Linked DNA regions of Macaca mulatta. The protein of the gene in region 2 binds, or shares a complex with, the protein of the main gene of each other region. Links are inferred from orthologs where the notes say so. Each region holds a gene or a part of one and is shown on either strand. Other genes may lie near its edges.

Region 1 (3,795 bases), on a different chromosome or scaffold from region 2:
TGCGCATCACTCACCTGCACACGTCACACCTACACCACTCACCTGCGCACACCACTCACCTGCACACACACCTACACTCAACACTCACCTGCACACACCACCGTGGCTACACACAACCTGCACATACCACGCCTACACCAAACATGCACCTGCACCCAACACTCATTTGTGCACACTTACCTACACACCCCACCGCACCTACGCCCACCACTCACCTGCACACCCCACCGCACCTACGCCCACCACTCACCTGCACACCACCACGCCTACACTGCACACCTGCACACACCACCGTGCCTACACCCAACTCACCTGCGTACACAACTGCACACACCACCATGCCTGCACCAAACACCTGTAAACACCACTCACCTGCACAAACCACCGCACCTACTCCCAACACTCACCTGCACACACCACCGCGCCTGCACTGAACACATACCTGCACTCACCACTCACCTGCACTGAACACATACTTGCACTCACCACTCACCTGCACTGAACACATACCTGCACTCACCACTCACCTGCACACACCACCGCGCCTGCACCGAACACACACCTGCACACACCACTGTGCCTACACCCAGCACTCACCTGCACACACGCCTACACATCCAACACATCTGCACACACTGTGCCTACACCCAGCACTCACCTGCACACACGCCTACACACCCAACACATCTGCACACACCGTGCCTACACCCAGCACTCACCTGCACACACGCCTACACACCCAACACATCTGCACACACCGTGCCTACACCCAGCACTCACCTGTGCATACCGCCACACCCACACCTAACACCTACAAACACCCAGATGGCTACCCATGCCATGTCTACACTCAATACCTGCACACGTACAGCAACCCATATTGCCACGTCTATACCCAATACACCTGCACGCCCCCACGCAGCTACCCACACGTCTACAGACAACACACCTACACACCACACACCCACCCTCACCATGTCTACACCCAACACACATACTTGCACGTACCCCAACACAACTACCCACACCAGACACCCCATACCTACACACACTCCCCCCTCTACACCTACAACACACCTGCACACATCTACACACACCCACACCACCACATGGACACCCAGCACCTGCACACACACCCCCCACAGCTACCCACACCATATCGACACCCAACTCACCTGCACACAACCCCCCACACCATCACGTCTACACTCACCCACCCCTGTACCCACAAGTCTACACCCAACACTCACCTGCACACACCCACACTACAGCACATACACCCACACAGCTACCCACACTACCATGTCTACACCCAACAGCCCTGCACACACACCCATACCACGTCTACACCCAACACTCATACCCTATACATATACCCACACAGCTACCCCCACCATGGCTACACTTGCACGCACACCCACACAGCTACCCATGCCACGTCGACACACAACACACATATTCACACCCCACCCCCAAGACACCAAGACGCACCCGTCCACAGCCAGCAGCAGGAACCAGATGAAGTTGAGCAGCGGCTCCACAAATGGAGGCCCGTCCTCGATGGACGGGTGCTTCTGGGTGTATGTCGTGAAGACCACCGACGCGCTACTTTTGTTTTTTAAACAGAGAAACCTGGAAATGAGAACATGCTGGTGGTGGAAGGGCTGGAGAACATGGCTTCTGGCCGCACAGGCGCCAGCCTCTGACACATCCTTCCCAAGCTCGTGCGCCCATGGGTCCCGCGGCCCCCGGCACGGAGGAACCCAGTGCTTCACACGTGTCTCCCCTCACGTGCAGGGCATACTGGGGAAGCCTGAAATTCACAGGTGAAGAGAACGAAGCTTGGGAAGGTCACCAGGCTCTGGAGCTGGGCCCCAGCCTGAGACTCAACTATGCGATGCACTGAGCAAGCTCTCCTCTCCTCAGGCTGCCCGCACCAGAACACTCAGTCACGGCACAGCAGCTGGCGGGTGCCACACAGACCCTGGCTCCTGTTCGAGGAGGGCCCACGGGGAGAGCTCAGTGTCCCAGGGGCAGAGCCACTGTCAGCCCAGAGAAAACGTGTACGCAGTGCGGTGCAGAGCCAGGGAGCTCCAGGTTTGACCCAGCTTTTCATCTAAGTCACGGACGCCAGCTCCTGGCAGAGCTCTGCAGTGCGCACCACCGAGGTCAGAGGGTGTCTGTCCCCAGATCCCACGTTAACTCCCCAACGCCCGCCTTGAAATCCACATTGTTCTGTGGGAAGAAACTGATGGACACAAATAACGCTTTCATGAGAAAGGAAGCGGAGGCCAGCGCCTGGAGCAGGAGCGCCTGGAGCTCGGCCTGCAGGATGCCCCAGAGAGCTGGCGGGAGGGGCCGCGGGGTAGATGCTCACCATTCTATGACCTGGGTGTGCATTTCCGCTTTTCCAGATACTGCGGGAAGGCAGAGGCTGAGGCAGGCCTGAGGAGAGCAGAGGCCGCGGGGCCTCCCGGCAGCGGGCAAGAGGCGCAGTGTGGAGGGCGCTCCAGTGCCCGTCGGGAAAGGGGGAGTTTCTAAGATACTTCTTGAAACTGGTTAAACTTATGAATAATCACGGGTGACTCTGGCTGACAAGTGCGCTGTGGATTCTGCCCAGAGTGAACTCAGTTTATCCTGCAGCATGGCTCGGGCAGGGGACAAGGGGACCTGCTCTAAGGCCGCCCGGCCAAGGCAGCGATGGAAGCCAAGACCCAAAGAGCCACAAACACCTACTGTAGCACGGCCTGGGCCACGAACATGTCCACCTCGCTGCGGAAGCCACGGGACGTAGAGTATTCCACCAGCATGTTGGCACAGCCCTCCCCATCCGCCGAGTGCAGAAAATGATACCGCGACTCACAATAGTTTTGTTCTGCAAAGGAAACACAGAAAAATTTGAATGCATTTCATGAATATAATATAGAACAGGAAAAGTGGAAAGATACTCTATGTTAATTGTAGTCCACCTGCCTGCCCTGGAGAAGAGCCCAGCCAGAGCCCACAGGCAGAGGTACCCGATAGGGACTCAGAGCCGGCCCAAACCTCACACACAGCACCAAATAAACAGATCACCAGGGAACAGTCACTCAGCCATGCAACACCTTCATCCTCCAAGCTCTCAGAGCTGCTTAATCCAATCACATTAACGTGCGTTGTAATGATCAGTTACAGAGTGTTAACATGGGACCCTCCCCACCTACCAGAAGCAACTTATAGGGAGCAATGTAATCAGGGCCTAGGCCAGTGCATCTAGCATGTAATCAACAGTCAAAACCAGCCTGATGTACTCACCACACTGACCCAACGATCAACCCTTGATATCTCAAAGGCACACTCCGCTCCCAGGCCCCGTCCTAACACCCGCTCACACTCACTCCGCTCCCAGGCCCCGTCCTAACACCCGCTCACACTCACTCCGCTCCCAGGCCCCGTCCTAACACCCGCTCACACTCACTCCGCTCCCAGGCCCCGTCCTAACACCCGCTCACACTCACTCCGCTCCCAGGCCCCGTCCTAACACCCGCTCACACTCACTCCGCTCCCAGGCCCCGTCCTAACACCCGCTCACACTCACTCCGCTCCCAGGCCCCGTCCTAACACCCGCTCACACTCACTCCGCTCCCAGGCCCCGTGCATGCCTTGGGAGCACAGCCCTTCCCGTGGTGCAGATCTCAGCACTCACCAGGCGCCTGCCTCTCCCACCTAGTGGGCCCTTTCCCAACTGCGTTGCCCAACAGGAGCCTCCAGGGCCCTCCTGCTGCCTCTGTGGCTGCCAGAGTCCTTGTCACCTTG
Region 2 (4,521 bases):
TTCATGCTGCCCAAGGCCCTGGCTCTGGGCCTCATCATTACCTGCTCATCGCCTGGCGGCGGAGGGAGCTACCTCTTCAGCCTCCTTCTTGGAGGGGACGTCACCCTGGCCATCTCCATGACTTTCATCTCTACGGTGGCTGCCACTGGTTTCTTGCCTCTGTCTTCAGCCATCTACAGCCACCTGCTCAGCATCCATGAAACACTCCACGTGCCCATCTCCAAAATCCTGGGCACCCTGCTGTTCATCGCCATCCCCATAGCAGTGGGCGTGCTGATCAAGTCCAAGCTCCCCAAGTTCTCCCAGCTGCTGCTGCAGGTCATCAAGCCCTTCAGCTTTGTGCTCCTCCTGGGCGGCCTTTTCCTGGCCTATCGCATGGGGGTCTTCATCCTGGCAGGCGTCCGGCTACCTATCGTACTGGTGGGTATCACAGTGCCCCTGGTTGGCCTGTTGGTGGGCTACTGCCTGGCCACATGTCTGAAGCTGCCTGTGGCCCAGCGGCGGACGGTCAGCATTGAGGTAGGGGTGCAGAACAGCCTGCTGGCCTTGGCCATGCTGCAGCTATCCCTCCGCCGCCTTCAAGCTGACTATGCCTCCCAGGCCCCCTTCATTGTGGCGCTGAGCGGCACCTCCGAGATGCTGGCCTTGGTCATTGGCCACTGCATCTACAGTAGCCTGTTCCCAGTTTCCTGAGGCCTCTGGGTCAAGCTTTCATCAGCCCCAGCCCCCACACTCCACCAAAGTTCTCATGCACTATGCACTCAGAAAAATCCAGGCTTATTTTTTTTACTGATTTTTTATTCTCCAGCTTTCAGTGCCACAGAGGCCATGCTGAGTTAGGTAGGTGGGCGCTGCCCAGAAAATATATTTCAATAAAACAGAGAAGCAAGCTTGGGTCCCTTCTAATCTTTGCCCTTTGGGGCCTGGGCGTGGGGGTAGAAAGAGTGTGCTGGGTAGGTGTGGACCAGGGTGGAGGGCCAGCTTGGGTGACACGGTGACCCCTGCATAGGCTTTCTCTATCAGCCCTCCCGGGGCGTGTCCCCACTGTAGGAGAGGTGGGAGGATGAGGGCAGAGGCTGGCCCCCCTACCCCCTCTCAAGCTCAGTGGGGTGTTTCGCAGCCAGACCAGAAAGGAGGAGCCAGAAAGCCACCAGGCAGGGAGCCGGCGGGGGGGGCGCCGTCTGTGGGTATGCAGGGCCAGGTTCCGCCAGCAGTAACGGCGCGTGGGGTGGTCCAGGCAGTCTGCGGGGGCGAGCGTACCTTCTGGTCCTTCCTTCTCCATTCCCTAGCTCCCAGATGACGCCAACCTGGCCCGACTAGTTCCTGCTCCCAACTCCCCGGCGCTGTTGCTTTGGGAGGGGTCCGCCGGCCAGGGCGGTCGCTGCGCGTGTGCTAGGCGGGACCCCAGGGGCACTCCTCCCGGGGTGCAACTGGGCCGGGGGGCGGGGCCGGGGCGTGGACGAGGCAGGAGGGCGGGGCCGGGAAGCGCGGGCGGCGGGCGCGCCCCTCTCGCTGCTTCCGGCGGCGGCGGGCGGTTCCAGCGCGCGCCCGGGGCGGCGGCGCGCGGCGGGGGGTGGTTGGGGTGCGCGCCGGCCCGAGTGGACGCCGTCGCGACCGCCATGCAGCTGACGGTGAAGGCGCTGCAGGGCCGGGAGTGCAGCCTGCAGGTAGGGTCCCCGGGCCGGGCGGCCGGGTCCGGCGCGCTCTCTCGCCGGCTCCTGGCAGGGTGACCAGCAGGGCCAAGGGCGGGCACGGGGCGGCCGGGCCGGGGACTGGGAGCCGGGAGAGCTGCCCTCGGGAGCGGACGCGTGGGCTTCGCCGCCTGGGGACCGCGGCCTCAACCCTTGCCTCCCACCCTCCGCGCGGCCAGGTGCCGGAGGACGAGCTGGTGTCCACGCTGAAGCAGCTGGTCTCCGAGAAGCTGAACGTCCCCGTGCGCCAGCAACGGCTGCTTTTCAAGGGCAAGGCCCTGGCAGGTACCCAGGGAGAGGAGACGCCCAGGGAGCCCCGCAGGAAGCGGGACTGGGGTGCGCGGGCCGAGGCCGGCAGCCGTGTAACGGGTTGGGGTGCCGGCGCCAAGCGCCACATGACCCCAAGGGAGGCGGCCGCATGCCTCACTGCCGGATGCCGCAGCGCTCCGCTCCCGCCGCCCGAGGCGGTCTCGCGTCCCGGGCCACCCCCACGGCGGCGGAGGAGGAGGAACCCATCGATCTGTCTTTGGCAGATGGGAAACGACTCTCGGATTATAGCATCGGGCCCAACTCCAAGCTCAACCTAGTGGTCAAACCCCTGCAGAAGGTGCTACTAGAAGAAGGCGAGGCCCAGAGGCTGGCCGACTCCCCACCCCCGCATGTCTGGCAGCTAATCTCCAAAGTCTTGGCCCGCCACTTCAGTGCGGCAGATGCCAGCAGGGTCCTGGAACAGCTACAGAGGGTGAGAAGGGTAACCCTGGGTATCCTCTCCAGGCCCAGTTCCTCCCAGCCCCTACCTCTGTTGCAGTGTATGGCTCCCCACTGGCAGCCCCTGAATCTTCCTGCCCTTCTCTCCCCAGGATTACGAGAGGTCCCTGAGCCGCCTGACGCTGGACGACATCGAACGGTTGGCCAGCCGCTTCCTGCACCCTGAAGTGACTGAGACGATGGAGAAAGGCTTCTCCAAATAGCATTCTCGGAGCATGGGGAGGTGCCCAGTGCCAGGCCACAGCAGCATGTCACACTAAGTGTGTTCACCTGTTGCAGTTGGGCTCATAATAATAGCTGGCATGTACCTGGCTCTGGCCACGTGCTAGGCACTCCTCACAGCTTGACCTGGGTTTGCTTCCACACCCTCAGAAGAGGTGAGCCAGCACAGCAGAGGCACTGGCGGTGAAGTGGCGGAGCCCCAGTCGGAATCCAGCGGCTTCTGAAAGTGCCTTGGTGTGAGAAGGAGGAAGGGGCTGCTTGGAGAGCTGGGCTCTGGCATGTCATGTTTAGCCCACTGAGAATATACCCTCAGGTGACTCCTTCCCAATCCTGAAAGGGAAAGCAGCTGTCACCTGACCTCTGGCGGGTCCAACATAGCCTTCAGCTTACCTCTGCAGGAGGCCAAGTGACAGCCAGCCCTGGAACCACCACACCCCCAGCAGCTGCTGCAGCCAGTGTGCTTTCGACAAATGAAAAAGCAGGTTGGGGCCAGGGAGTCAGCAAGTCACCCCAGCTCTGTGATGTGACTTCGGGGGAGTCTCAGTGCCACTTTGGTCCCCAGCCACGGACTTTATACAGTGAGGGCCACTCCCCGACCTGAGTCAGTGTCCTTCGTCTCACAGTGCCCCCCTCCCTTCTGTTCAGTAAACAAACTGAAGCCAAAAGCGAAGCAGTGGCCAAGTGTGACCCAGAGATGGGGTGTCCTGGCCCTTAGTGACACAGCTCCTCTCTGGGCACCCTGTCTGCTTGTCTCCTCCAGGAAGCGTTAGGGCTGATGGGTGACTCAGCAAGGCAATGTCAGAACTGGGGCTGGGCATAGGCCTTTGTCCTCGTCCCCAGCACTCGCCTCCCTGTGGAAGATGAACACATCAGCCACCTGTGTACAGCCGCTCACTTCGTGTGCTCCTTGTTGCCTGAGAGGAAACCTTGGGGTGCCAGGGTGGGGACAGAAACATGGGCTGGGTTCCGGTTCCTTCTCCACTGTGCCCTGTGCATGGGCACAAGAGGACATCTAGCCACCTGCTCCTTGGAGGCCCCCAGGGGTGGTAGAGGCTAGAAGGAAGCCACAGCAGGAGGACGCCACTCTGGGCCCTCCACCCTTGCCAAGTGAGCCGCTCACAGTGTGGTCGGGGCTGCACGTGCTGGAGGCCCTCCTGCCTGGGCCTGATGGGGCAAATATTGGGTCCCCGGGCTGGAAAGATGGACAGAGGCCCAATGGGTGAAGGCTTTGAAGAGCACACAGAAGCCCCTGGCCCCCCACGAGAGCTGGAGAGCCATGTATATGGCTTCAAAGCCACCTATGGCAGGGACACACTTGTGAGCATGGGTGGCCTGCAGCTCAGGTGATACATTTACCAGTGCTCTTGTTTGCGTGGTGCCAGGAAATTGATTTTGGAAAATGAAATAACATTAAAGGTGAATGTGAGACTTCCACTTTTATCCAAAAGGAGCTATATTAGCTAGGCTGTTTCTGATATCCAATCATTGGTTTAACAATAAAGGCAATTTGTTTAATCAGTAACGGAAATTTCTTGGCTTATGAAAGTGAAAAGCCCAGTGGTATCGGCATTGGCAGCAGGGGAGCAATTCTTCCAGTGTCTTCCTGCCTCCCTCTGCGTTTGTGTCTGCCACATCCCAGGCCACCACCTCCAAGGATGAAAAGGTGGCTGCCTGCAGCTTCCACAGAATCCCTCCCTCACTGCCTCACTGCCAGAGCAGCACCTTCTCTGTAGCACCTCTGCTGTCTCAGATGCCTCCAGCAAATAAACACCCTTGTTGGTCGGAACTGGATTGTGCGTCCAATCATTTTGGCCGGGGTAGGGGGTGATTATCCATCAGG

The links.
Region 1: UBL4A (region 2) and GET4 share a complex: the UniProt entries of both Homo sapiens proteins name them as parts of the BAG6/BAT3 complex. The link is inferred for Macaca mulatta from reciprocal best matches to the Homo sapiens genes UBL4A and GET4.

Annotation. Positions count from the first base shown.
Region 1 is NC_133408.1:34,831,920-34,835,714, reverse strand, and holds part of GET4 (Golgi to ER traffic protein 4 homolog), read right to left. Parts: intron 2,876-3,795; coding exon 2,737-2,875; intron 1,633-2,736; coding exon 1,492-1,632; intron 1,486-1,491; exon of another isoform or gene 494-1,485; intron 460-493; exon of another isoform or gene 1-459. UniProt on the Homo sapiens protein: As part of a cytosolic protein quality control complex, the BAG6/BAT3 complex, maintains misfolded and hydrophobic patches-containing proteins in a soluble state and participates in their proper delivery to the endoplasmic reticulum or alternatively can promote their sorting to the proteasome where they undergo degradation.
Region 2 is NC_133426.1:160,668,837-160,673,357, reverse strand, and holds UBL4A (ubiquitin-like protein 4A), read left to right. Parts: upstream 1-1,611; 5' UTR 1,612-1,619; coding exon 1,620-1,667; intron 1,668-1,870; coding exon 1,871-1,976; intron 1,977-2,224; coding exon 2,225-2,433; intron 2,434-2,551; coding exon 2,552-2,662; 3' UTR 2,663-4,464; downstream 4,465-4,521. Other genes in the region: SLC10A3 (P3 protein), read left to right, coding at 1-693. UniProt on the Homo sapiens protein: As part of a cytosolic protein quality control complex, the BAG6/BAT3 complex, maintains misfolded and hydrophobic patches-containing proteins in a soluble state and participates in their proper delivery to the endoplasmic reticulum or alternatively can promote their sorting to the proteasome where they undergo degradation.